Linked DNA regions of Canis lupus familiaris. The protein of the gene in region 2 interacts with the protein of the main gene of each other region in a biochemical or structural test. Links are inferred from orthologs where the notes say so. Each region holds a gene or a part of one and is shown on either strand. Other genes may lie near its edges.

Region 1 (4,181 bases), on a different chromosome or scaffold from region 2:
TCCTGTGGGCAAGAGCAGGGTCCTGTGTATAAGAGCACCGAGCACAGGGGGGCCCAGGGCAGCCTCGGTGACAGGCGCATGGTAGCCACACTTCACAGGCTTTTCTGCACCTGGGAGATCCGGCCTTTCTGGGAACACAGAACTGTTTTGGGGGGCGGAAGTCCTCAGTCCCACATTCGTGGGCTAAAGCAGAACTGTGTGAGCAGAGCCCAGCAAATGCTTCCCTCCAATCGCACCGCCTCCTGGACTCCTAGGCCCACCCCCCCCGCTCTTGTTGGCTGGTCAAAAATATGGCCAGTTTATATAAAATCCTGTTTTGTTCATAGTAACCACTCCCCCTCCCCCTCCGTCTGAACTGGCCAAGCGCACTTAAAATTCTAAGACCTCCATTTATAAAAGGAATCTCCAGGAAGCTTCCCCAGGCCACCTAGCCCCCCCACCCCACCCCAGGGGCACTGGTGGGCAGGGGTCCCTCCTTGAAGCGCACCAGGCCCCAGTTCAGGGACCCCCAGGGGTGGGAAGTGTCTGGCTCCTGTGCCAAGCTGGAGGGGAAGGGGAAGGCGAAGGGGAAGGGGAAGGGGAAGGGGAAGGGGAAGGCGAAGGGGAAGGGGAAAGGGGAAGGGAAGGGAAGAGAAGGGAAAGCGGAAGGGAAGTGGAAGGGAAGGGGGAAGGGGAAGGGGGGAGGGGGAAAGGGAAGGAAGGGGAAGGGGAAGAGAAGGGAAGGGGGAGGGGGAAGGGGAGGGGGTAAGGGGGAGGGAACGGGAGGGGGAAGGGAAGGGGGGAGGGGAAGGGGCCCCCGGGGGTGGGGGGGTGGGCTGCGAGTCCCGGGCGCTGGGCGAGGGCCCCCTGGGCGCCGCCCCGCCCCCGGGCGACCTGCGAGGGGCGGGGGCGGGGGCGGGGGCGGGGGCGGGGGCCGGGGCGCTGCGGGGCCAGGTGCGCGGCGCTGGGCCCCGGACGGTCGGCGGGTCCGCGCACAACAAAGCGGCGTCCGGGGGAGGGCGGGGGCGCGGGGAGGGGGCGGCCGGGAGCTCCCGGAGTCGCATTGGCCGCCGGCCACCGGGGGGCGGAGCCGACACGCCCCGGAGCGCGATAAAAGGCCGGCCCGGCCCGCGCCCGCAGCGCACGCATCCGTAGAAGGCAGCGCAGGCCCCGGTGCCCGCCGCCCCCGCCGCCCCCGCCGCCGCCGCCCCCGCCGCCCCCGCCGCCGCCGCCGCCCCCGCCGCGCCCAGCGCCCCGCGCCCCAGCGACCCGGGAGAGTTAGCGCGGGCGAGCGCGGGCCCGGTGCGGAGGGCGGCCCCGGCGCGCCCCGAGGCCAGCGCCCGCACACCCGCGGCGGCCGAGCCCCGCGCCCGCGCCCCCGCCCCCGCCCCCGCCCCGCCCGCCATGGGCGCCGCGGCCCGCAGCCTGCGCCTGGCGCTCGGCCTCCTGCTGCTGGCGACGCTGCCGCGCCCGGCCGACGCCTGCAGCTGCTCCCCGGTGCACCCGCAACAGGCGTTCTGCAACGCGGACGTAGGTGAGCACGCGCCCCCGCCCGCCCCCGCCCGCCCCCGCCCGCGCCCCCGCGCCCCCCGCGCGCCCCGCCCGCCCGCCCGCCGGGGCCCACGCCCGGACGCCGGCCTCGGGCCTCCCGGAATCCTGCAAGTGGACGCCAGGATCGCACTTTCTCTTTCCCCCGCGCGTCTCCCTTTCTTCGCCTCTCGCCGAGATGCTTCTCAACCTCAAAATTCCACCGAAATTCCTCCGCAGCCCCAGCCCCAGCCCCAGCCCCAAGAAGGGAGCCAGGGAGCCAGGGAGCGGACCGGGCTTGGCAGGCGCAGGGCCCGGGGATGCCAGCGCGGGGGGCGGGGGGGCGGGGAGAGAGGGGACGCGGCGCGGCGGGGCAGGCCTGGCCCTGGCCCGGGCGCGGGAGGACGGGGACCCCGAGAAACTTTCGCGGCCGAGCGGGAGCTGGGCTCCGCCCCGGGGCTGGGAGGGGAAGGGCTGGCCGCTCAGCCCCGGCCTCTCCCTCCAGCCCTCCAGCCCGGCTCGGGCTCACCTTGGCTTCGGCTGGGGCGGAGAGGGGAGCTTCCCGGCTCTGCCCAGGCTCCCCGGGCCGCAGGGGCAGCCCCGAGGGGCAGCCGGAGCCCCTGGCCCGGAGGGGGGCCCTGCGGCCAGGCCCGGTGGGAGGAGGGTCCGCGAGAGGCTCGCTGCCGGACCGCTTTCTCAGGACATCCCCGCACACTGGAGACTTGGGGCCAAGTGGGGCTGCGTGGCCGCGTAGGACCCTCGGAAAATGTCTCTCATGCTCTGCACCCTTGCCCCTCAAAGGTGGGGGTGAGCCCGGGAGGCAGGAGGAGCCCGTTATTTGTTCCGATCCTGGATCCTCACAGGGGCCGGAGACAAGTGGGGGAGAAGGTGGCAGAAATGGGAGGGACCAGCTGGGCCCCAGGACCCCAGAGGTTTCCGTCCGGGCCTCCAGCTGCCCTGGTGAGGGTCAGCCGGGATTTCCCAGGGCAAGTCTAGCCACAAGGACAGATGCACAGCAGGGGGGTCACTGCCCCCCCCCCCCCCACAATTGGCTTCTCAACAGGTTTATGTTGTGCTTCTAAGCCTCAGCCAGCAGAGCGTCCGGTTGCCAGGCCAGATGCAGTGAGGCTGGCTGCCCTCACCTGTGCAGACTCAGAGCCTGGGTCCCTGGGTTCCTCCTGTTGTCGGCCATGCCCTCCTGAGCTCCCCACGGCCCCTGGCCACACCCCAGTTGGCCCCATTGACCTGCCGCTTGGCCCAGGAAGACCTCAGGTGTTCTTACCTGTGGGCATCACATGGCTCCGGCCATCTTGGCGTGGGTGCTTGCAGAGGAGTTTTCCGTAAACCCCGAGGCAGGGGACTAAGTAAGGCTGGCTCCCCAACTTGGCTTGCCCAGCAGGTTTGAGGGCGATGCACATTGGCCTTCCCCTGGGGTGTCCGCTGGGCATCTGGGCCTGACCGGGCCCCTTTGCTGAGACACGGCCAGGCTCCTGCCCATGAAGCTGTAGGGCGGGATGGTCTCAAGGCCCAGAAGGAACCTCGTGAGGCGCTTGGGCTTGGTTCGCAGGAGCCTGCAGGAAGGGGCAGGGCCTCGGGTCCACCTCACACTCTTCAGCTGCTGGAAGAATTTCCAGCCGCTTCCTGGCCTGCCCAGTAAACCAGGGCAGCAAAGGGTCAGGGTCGAGGAGCTTCAGCGAGCCTTCAGGTTCCTTCTTGCTGTGTGCGTTCCTCTCACTCCGTCTGGATCTCCTGACACGTGTGTCCCATTTCTTCGCATCCAAATCACTAAGGAGCCTAAACTTTGACCCCGTCCCAGCTCAGAGGCCCAGTCGGGCTGCTGACACCAGACTTGCACAGCAGAGCCCCGGCTGTGAGATCCCTGTGCGCTGCACTGAATCCGCTAACGGGGGAGCCTCAAAACAACAGCGGTTGTCTCTGTCACAGCTGAGGCGGCCCGAAGTCCAAAGTCAAGGTGTTGGCAGGATGGGCTCCTCCCGGACACCCCGAGGCAGAATCTGCTCCGGGTGTCTCTCTCCCCGCTCCTGCTGGCTGCCGCCATCCTTGGCTTTCCTTGGCTTGTGGACACGTCACTCCAGCCTCTGCCTTCTTGTCTTTACGTGGATTTCTCTGCGTGTGTCTGTCCCAAACTCTCTCTTGTAAGAAGGACCCCAGTCCCTGAGTATAGGGCCCACCCGTATCCAGCATGATCTTCTCTTAACTCCATCACATCTGCAAAGACCCTCATTCCAAATAAGGTCACCTGAGCAGGTTCGGGGTGGACAGGAGTTTTCAGGGGAACTCTTCTGGCCATGCTGCCGCAGTTGGCCCTTCTGTGCTCAGTCAGCTTGGGATATGTGAAGCCGAGACACCCAGCGGAAGCCCTGGGTGGCTGTGGAGTTCAGGTCACTGCGAAGGCGGTGGTCTTTCTGTATCTGCTTCTCCTTTGAGGGCCGCTAGCCTGTGACTTTCTCCTGACGATCCCCCACTCTGAGAACCAAATGGCCTGGGGCCCTTTGAAAGATGACTCACGTCTTGGCCCCTTTGTAAATACAGAGAGTCTGGCCTGGGCCCAGCTCTTGCTGAGGGTTTTAAAAGCCTCACAGGTGGACCTTGTGCCACGAGGGCTGTGGTCCAGGGGCCCATGAAGGGTGATGGCCTTGCGCACATTGGGGATA
Region 2 (3,742 bases):
TATAGTCTCCCCCACAACCCTACCTGACTTTGCCTCCACCCACCACCCACTCCCACTTTTTCTTTTTTTTTACACTATTTCTTCCATATGTCTTATTCTTCTCCCACTTTTGATTTCACCTTTTCTGTCCTTTCCCACCTGATTGCTTCATCCTTCCCCAAAGGGCCATCCACACTTTTCCAACAGTATTGTCTGCCCATATATCTGTTCTTTCCTCCCCCTCTGCCACAAAGTCTGAAGTGTCTCTTGTGTTCTCTACATCAGGGAGTGAGTCAGGGTCCCCCACTAAGATGCCTCCTCAGCCCAGGACTACCTCCAGGCCCTCTGTCCCTGATAAGCCCAAAAACCCCACCTACGGGCCCAACATCTGTGATGGGAACTTTGACACTGTGGCGGTGCTCCGAGGGGAGATGTTTGTCTTCAAGGTGAGAGGAAGAAGTGGGCTGGTTGGAGGAACAAGAGGGCTCTAAGCCCAGCAGGCTGGGTGGAAATAGCAGCAGGAGGGTTAGTGGGACGCTTTGGGGACTAAGCCAGAGGACTAGCTATAAGACGTAATGTACTATCCCCACCCTGCTACTTTCTAGGAGCGCTGGTTCTGGAGGGTAAGGAATAACCAAGTGATGGATGGATACCCAATGCCCATCGGCCAGTTCTGGCGGGGCCTGCCTGCATCCATCAACACTGCCTACGAGAGGAAGGATGGCAAGTTTGTCTTCTTCAAAGGTAACCAGCTTTCTACCTTAGTCCTCTGGTGTAAGGAGAGTCTCCCTGCAGGAGTGGATTTCACTGGACTCCTCCAGAGACCCAAGAGCCCAAGTGGAACCCAGGTCCCGCCCTTCTCTCTCCTCTCCAGGAGACAAGCACTGGGTGTTTGATGAAGCTTCTCTGGAACCTGGCTACCCCAAGCACATCAAGGAGCTGGGCCGAGGACTGCCTACTGACAAAATCGATGCTGCTCTCTTCTGGATGCCCAATGGAAAGACCTACTTCTTCCGGGGAAACAAGTGAGATGTCAGCCCTTGACCCCAGGCCTCCCTCCTCGGACACTGCCACCACCACGTTCCCTCAACTCTGGAGAAAGACCCACTTACCCCAGGACAGTTCCCTGGAGAAGTTGCTGGTTGATCCTCTGCCGTTGCCCAGCAACAGCCAGCCTCCGTGAGGCGCTGAGTGGGAAGTGACCGGGTCACCGTTTCAGACCTGGTCATTTGGCGCCTCCTGCCCCCAGCACCGTGCCTCCACCCCAGCTGCCAGGCACTGTCATTAAAGGTTACTGGTGGCTCCTTGCAGCCTGGGACCTCCCATCCACCCCCACCTTCCGCCACTTTCAGCTGCAGGCCCTCATTACACAAAACCCCTGCCCTGCACCCTGTCCATAGCCACTCTTTGCTCACTGGTAAATTCAGTCCTGGGCCCTGCCATGCTCTGAGGACATGCCCAGGGCCCGACCATTTGCCTCCCCCCTTCCCCCAGGTACTACCGTTTCAACGAGGAACTCAGGGCAGTGGACAGCGAGTACCCCAAAAACATCAAGGTCTGGGAAGGAATCCCTGAGTCTCCCAGAGGGTCATTCATGGGCAGTGATGAAGGTGAGGGGCAAGGGAGATGTCCTTAAGGGAGGATGGGGAAAAGGGATTAAGAACTAAGAACGGGAAGAGACTGAGGGGATCTGGGGAAAGCAGTGATGATGAGAGCTCTGGAACCCTTGCCACATGCCAGGCTCTGAGCCAAGTGCTCTCCTCACATCAGATCCCCAATCCCCACTGCACTTTCAGCCCCGGTAATTTAGAATTACCCGGGTTTATAGCTGAGGAGACTGATGTTAGGGGATTAACTCCACCTGCTCGACTCACAGACTCACAGATTTCCCTTCTGTTCTCCTCTCTGTGGGTGTTCTGGACGCGGCCCCCACCTCTTATCCTCCTGGCCCCCTTCTTGCTGACCGCTGCAGTCTTCACTTACTTCTACAAGGGGAACAAATACTGGAAATTCAACAACCAGAAGCTGAAGGTAGAGCCAGGCTACCCCAAGTCAGCCCTGCGGGACTGGATGGGCTGCCCCTCATCGGGGAGCCGGCCAGATGAGGGGACTGAGGAGGAAACGGAGGTGATCATCATCGAGGTGGACGAAGAAGGCAGTGGGGCCGTAAGCGCAGCTGCTGTAGTCCTGCCTGTGCTGCTGCTGCTCCTGGTGCTGGCAGTGGGCCTTGCCGTCTTCTTCTTCAGACGCCATGGGACCCCTAAACGACTGCTCTATTGCCAGCGCTCCCTGCTGGACAAGGTCTGACCCCCACGGCTGCCCGCCCACTCATACCACGAGGACTTTGCCTCTGAAGGCCAGTGGCAGCAGGTGGTGGTGGGTGGGCTGCTCCCACCTGGTCCCAAGTCCCCTCCCAACCCTTCCTCCCTTCTTTTCTGTCCCATGATTGCCTCTCTTTTGACCTCAACCCTGGCATTGCTTCTTCCCTAGATGGGTCCCTGGGGGGCTGATCAGGGGCCGCCCCTTCCAGCCCCTATCCCCTAGGGGCCTCTGTAGCTTGGTGTGTGTCCTGCCCCATCTGAATGTCTTGGTTCTGCACTTGAAGGCAGGACCCTCAGACCTCGCTGGCAAAGGTCAAATGGGGTCATCTGCTCCTTTTCTATTCCCTGATGTAACTTTAACCTCTGAACTCTGACCTCAGGAGGCTCTGGGCACTCCAGCCCTGCAAGCCCCCAGGTGCACCCCATTGGCAACCTCCTACCACCCTTTCTGGCTAAAGGAATCTAATCTTGTTGAGGGGGGAGACCCTGAGAGAGTAGGAGGGGTGGGGGAGGTCTGCACAGTTACCCTGAAACCTTGGGAGGAAAGCTCAGAGTCAGCGCCTCTGCAGAGACCTGCCTCTGCCCCACCTGGCCCCCAGAGCTTCCCCAGAAGAAGCCTGAGCCATTAAGGGGCTGTAGAAACCCTTGATGCCCACCGCCCCTGCAAATGTCAGCCGAGGCTGCCGCTACTGGGGTAGGGTGGGGCCAAGGAGAGAGCCTGTCAGGAGCCCTGGGGGTGAGCCTCAAGGCCACAGAAAAAGAATCTTGCTCAAATGTAGGCAGCTGGGATGGGGACCAAGGGGCAGTCAGAAGGGGATAGGACAGGACCAAAAGGCTAACCGGGGAGGTGCTGTGCGCATGGAGGGCCGAGTGGCTCGGCAGGCCAGGCCAGCAGGGACACCACAAGGTGGGCTGTGGGCCCCAGAGGAGGGCATGTTTTACTGGAGCTCTGAGGAAGGGCTGGAGAAAGGCACACCTACTCCACTTTGGTGCCCTTCCTCTCACCAGAGTAGGTGCATTGGAAGGGTGGGGAGTCCAGTGAAAAGAGCAGAGATGACACACATCCAGGGACTGGCGACTGGGGACCTTCGTGAGGGTGGCCACCTGGTTAGGGAGGTGACCAGGGGCTGGCAGCACGCTGATGGGCAGCCTCAGCTGGTTTCGGGGAGGGGGCAGCTGCCTGGGTGGGTCTATCGTCAGGTGAGCCCCTCACTTCCTAATGCCCCCACCCCTCAGCTCTGCCCTGTCCTGCCTCCTCTCCCCCACCCAACCCACCCATTCAAAGTCTCCTCTGGCCGCTACAGGTGGTCATGGTACCGGAAGACTTGGGAGAGTGAGACCCTATAGGGGCAGTGAGAGGAGGGATGTCAGGGGCAGGGGGGTGGGGGGGGGATGAACGGTGCTGGCAGTTCGGCTAAATTTGTCGTGTTTGGGGGTTTTTT
Region 3 (4,023 bases), on a different chromosome or scaffold from region 2:
AATTATTTGAAATTGGTCTATTTGTCTTTTTTTTCTGATTTCTTCTAAGTTTATTCACTTTGTTATAAAACTGAGGCCTTTCTATAATGTTCTTAAAATAATAGTAATGAAATATTATGCTATGACTCACTTTACAATTCTATGAGTTATTTTCAAGATTATCTTTTGTTTTTTTAACAGCTCCATGACCAAAAAAAAAGGCACTTATTCTAATATTAATTTTTCAGGCAAATGCATTAGTGGTCAGGAAAATTAACTTTCCACAGGTCTCATAACTAAAAATGACATATTTAAGTTATTTTAGAATGGAAAAATCTTACATTGTGGCAATTTATGCTAAAATATCTGATTCTAAGAGTTCCTGTAAACACAAGGAGAATTTTGGAGGAAAAGTAAATCCTATAAATACAGCTGATACAATCACAACATGAAACAGACAAGAATTGAGTATATCCTTCATTTGCAAAAAGCATGCATCAGGAACTAACAATTAAAGACATATCAAACCAGGCCTTTGGGAGATTACAACTTTGCATAACTTCTAGTTTTGGAAAAACAAAATATTGCTAGCATGCAACGAGAGAGTGAAAGATTACTGCCTTGTGATATTTTTAGTGTACATTTTTTTCATGTTCTTTTATGTTTTTTGGCATTAAGCTATAGAATACCATCCCCAAGTAAGGTTTTGGATGAATTCCTAAATTAAATCCACAAAATAAGAAACAGGCAGGACATTGCTGATTGATTCCAGATCTGAATCGCATAAAATGAATCCCCTTAACATGAGAAATAGACTGGAAATGTTGATATTTACCTTTTATGTCAGAATGTGAACGAAGCATTTTTTCATATTTTGGCAATTGACATTAAGTCACCTCCCTGCCCCCGAATTAAGGTAGTCCCAGTAAATCAGTATAAACTTCAAGAGGAATGAGCCAGAAAAGATTCAATTGCTCTGAGGACCCATTTGCATTTTCCTGAAATTCTTTGTTCTGTGTATGATTCAGGAGACATTTAGATAAACCTGAGAGTTGAATGAGAGAATAGCACCTCATGTTGCCCCAGCTACAGAGGGAAAGAGCTTTCTTTGCCAGAGAAATGCTCCCACAGTGGAGGTCTTCCTTTGCAGCAGGACTCCATTCTTGGTTAAAAGCTAGAGTATTTGGACTAGTTAAGCATGAATCTCTCTCCCATTCCATAGGGAATGAGCTGGGCAGTCCTTCCTCCCCACGTCCACCTGCACTTCGTTAGAGAGCAGAATGCTCACATGCCACCCCACAAGATCCCCACAGTGACATAACTCCATGCAGAGACTGGCGTGACTGGGCTGGGTTTCCCCCCCTTCAGCTCTTGTATCACTAAGAATCTGGCAGCCAGTTCCGTCCTGACAGAGTTCACAGCATATATTGGTGGATTCTTGTCCATAGTGCATCTGCTTTAAGAATTAACGAAAGCAGTGTCAAGACAGAAGGTAAGTGCTGTTTTAACTATAGCACTGGGGATGCTGAATGTTTGGGACAGTGTTTATTGTAATAGGAACAGAAAAAATTCCAGAGCAACTTTGCCAGTTGCTATTCAACAGCAAATCCACAGTTTTGAGACTTTACTTTCACATTTTGCTAAACCTGCTTTCCATGATTTATGGATGTGAGATAAATTTTATAAGGTATACACTGCATTGCTTGGCAAAGGAAGCTATATACAAAGCTTCAGAAATGCAATGAGAAAGTATTTAAACGAGACATAGTAAAGAAGTTTGGCAATTAAAAGGTTTGTTATTTTATGCTAATTAGGTATATATGTTAGTATTGTTAGAACCTAATTTTGGAGCCAAGGAGGGCCATTTCCAGTAGTATTCAAAAATATTCTGCGATAAATGTGTTGTAACTTGTTACAATTTACAGTAAACATGTTATTATAAAATGTGAGCTAAAGAACTCAGACACTTAGGAATTACTTATTTCTGTTTTGTTAATTTTATCAATTTATTTTCTGGATGTATGTCTTGAGGGGGAAAAAAAAGCATGTTTTAAAGAAATTCTGGGAAAGACGATTTACTTTTTGAGAAAAGCATTTCCTCCATAGCCACAGGTATTTGGAAAAAACTGGGAGAAAGCAAAGTGCTCTTTTGCTTCATAGTGGAGTCATTATATGGTCACAAACTCTCTTTGAATTTAGAGCCCTTGTTTTTCCTTTGCCAGAAAGTATGGAAGCATTTTTTTCATCATAATTCAATACTCATATTATAGTGACCATGACTAGGTTAGTGTATACTCAATTTAAAATAAGGTGGAAGATTTTAATGAAGCAAGACAAATCTTTACAACATTAACATATTATAGCTTATAAATTATAACCTATAATTACATTAACACTATGTAATTGTTCTCATGGCCAAGTCCTGTCAACTAAATTAAATGACGCCATCCTTGTCTTAGGGAATAATTTGCCAAGGATCCGGCTGCATGTTACATTATGTCAGTTATCATAGTGATTCTAACAATTTTTTGAGGGTTTCATCTGCTAAAATAAAGTGCTTATAATTTCAAATAGAAGCAAAGAAAACTCCATTTCTAATGGCAAAAAATCCTATTTATCCCAAACCTCCTAGACACCAAGGCTTGTACCCTATTTCTCAAAAGAAGATATATTATTTTATGGTAGCTAGTGGAATGTGGATCCTGCCTCACATTGTGATTTCCCTCCCAGAGTTACCCCCTACCCCCCCCACCACAGCCATAACTCTCCACTCTACAAAAGTCCAAATTTCTACCTAAATTGCTAACCCTGTACTTCCCCCAAGCTATTGAAACGTATTTTATTGAGCCTTACTTAAGAAACATGTTCATATGAAGATCACTGTTACAACCCATTTTTAATTATACTCTCAATTTTGTCCTTTCCTACATGGTTCCTAATGCCACTGTTAAATGCAGACTGTCCTTAATTCCACCTCTTTCCCTCTTCCATGCTGTGAGGGCACTAAAATCCAGCTAAGTGAGCCATGCCTTCTTAAATTGTGGCATGAAGAAGGCAGAGAACTTGTGAGTTATTGAGAAAGGAAAACCTTAATTCAAAACTTGAAAATAATATATTTCTTTACCAGCTGGATCTCATTATAGGTTTAAGTTTTGTTTTGTTTTGTTTTTTGTTTTTTGTTTTTTTTTTTTTCAGAATCTGTGACATTTCCCTGATTAGTAAAAAGTACTTTCTAAAACTAATGTACTAAATATTAATTTTGGAACACAGTTGTGTAGTGTGCCTAAACATCTGGGATGCTAAAGAAAGTCAAAATAATAGGCACACACCCACCCCACCAAGAATTCCGTTCCTCCACCTCAGAACCAACAATATCCAGACATTTTTAAAGGAATGTGCCCCCTCTCACACACACATACATAAGAACAGCTTTCCTCCAGGCAAAACCATAGATTGCCCATGTTTCCCATAAGGGTCTTCTTAAAGAGACATTTTAATGATGGTGAATGGTGGGGTACAGGGTGCAGTTTACAGTCGTCTTTTCATTTTCATTCGTCCAGTTTTGAAGGATGCTCCGAAGCAGTGTACTAACATGGTGGCCAGTGCGCACCACCCAGAAACCTGTTGTAGGAAGGCATTTAATTACAGAAAGACCTAGAGAGATTGACTGGACAATTGGGCCTGACTTGCCCAGAAGGGGGCGCATGTGTATGCAGTCTGACCTGAACCCTGTTCACCACACCAGAAGTTGTACCCACACATCCTTCTTGTGATACTTATTAAAGTTAGAAGGACTTCATTAGAGGCTCTAAAAAAGTACTAGAAAATAATAAAGTACACATTTGCTAATGCATTTAACATTGCAAAGCCAATATCCTTTTCCTGAAAATATGCTATTGTGTAATATGTTTCCACTTTATTTAGGATTCAAAGCATTTGCCAAAAATGAATCTAGGTGTGTTTACTCTACTCTTGGCATTAATTGGTGGTGCCAGCGGCCAGTACTATGATTACGATTTCTCCCTACCGATTTATGGGCTGTCA

The links. The genes of interacting proteins can lie anywhere in the genome.
Region 1: the proteins of MMP14 (region 2) and TIMP2 form a complex in vitro, tested with the Homo sapiens proteins (2 studies listed by BioGRID). The link is inferred for Canis lupus familiaris from reciprocal best matches to the Homo sapiens genes MMP14 and TIMP2.
Region 3: the proteins of MMP14 (region 2) and LUM interact in a biophysical measurement, tested with the Homo sapiens proteins (2 studies listed by BioGRID and IntAct, with this or other methods). The link is inferred for Canis lupus familiaris from reciprocal best matches to the Homo sapiens genes MMP14 and LUM.

What each region holds. Positions count from the first base shown.
Region 1 is NC_049230.1:3,368,297-3,372,477, forward strand, and holds the start of TIMP2 (metalloproteinase inhibitor 2 precursor), read left to right. Parts: upstream 1-1,381; 5' UTR 1,382-1,383; coding exon 1,384-1,513; intron 1,514-4,181. UniProt on the Homo sapiens protein: Complexes with metalloproteinases (such as collagenases) and irreversibly inactivates them by binding to their catalytic zinc cofactor. Known to act on MMP-1, MMP-2, MMP-3, MMP-7, MMP-8, MMP-9, MMP-10, MMP-13, MMP-14, MMP-15, MMP-16 and MMP-19.
Region 2 is NC_049229.1:3,313,175-3,316,916, forward strand, and holds part of MMP14 (matrix metalloproteinase-14), read left to right. Parts: intron 1-264; coding exon 265-425; intron 426-584; coding exon 585-723; intron 724-853; coding exon 854-1,004; intron 1,005-1,473; coding exon 1,474-1,589; intron 1,590-1,951; coding exon 1,952-2,286; 3' UTR 2,287-3,742.
Region 3 is NC_049236.1:32,103,359-32,107,381, reverse strand, and holds the start of LUM (lumican), read left to right. Parts: upstream 1-1,223; 5' UTR 1,224-1,471; intron 1,472-3,903; 5' UTR 3,904-3,924; coding exon 3,925-4,023.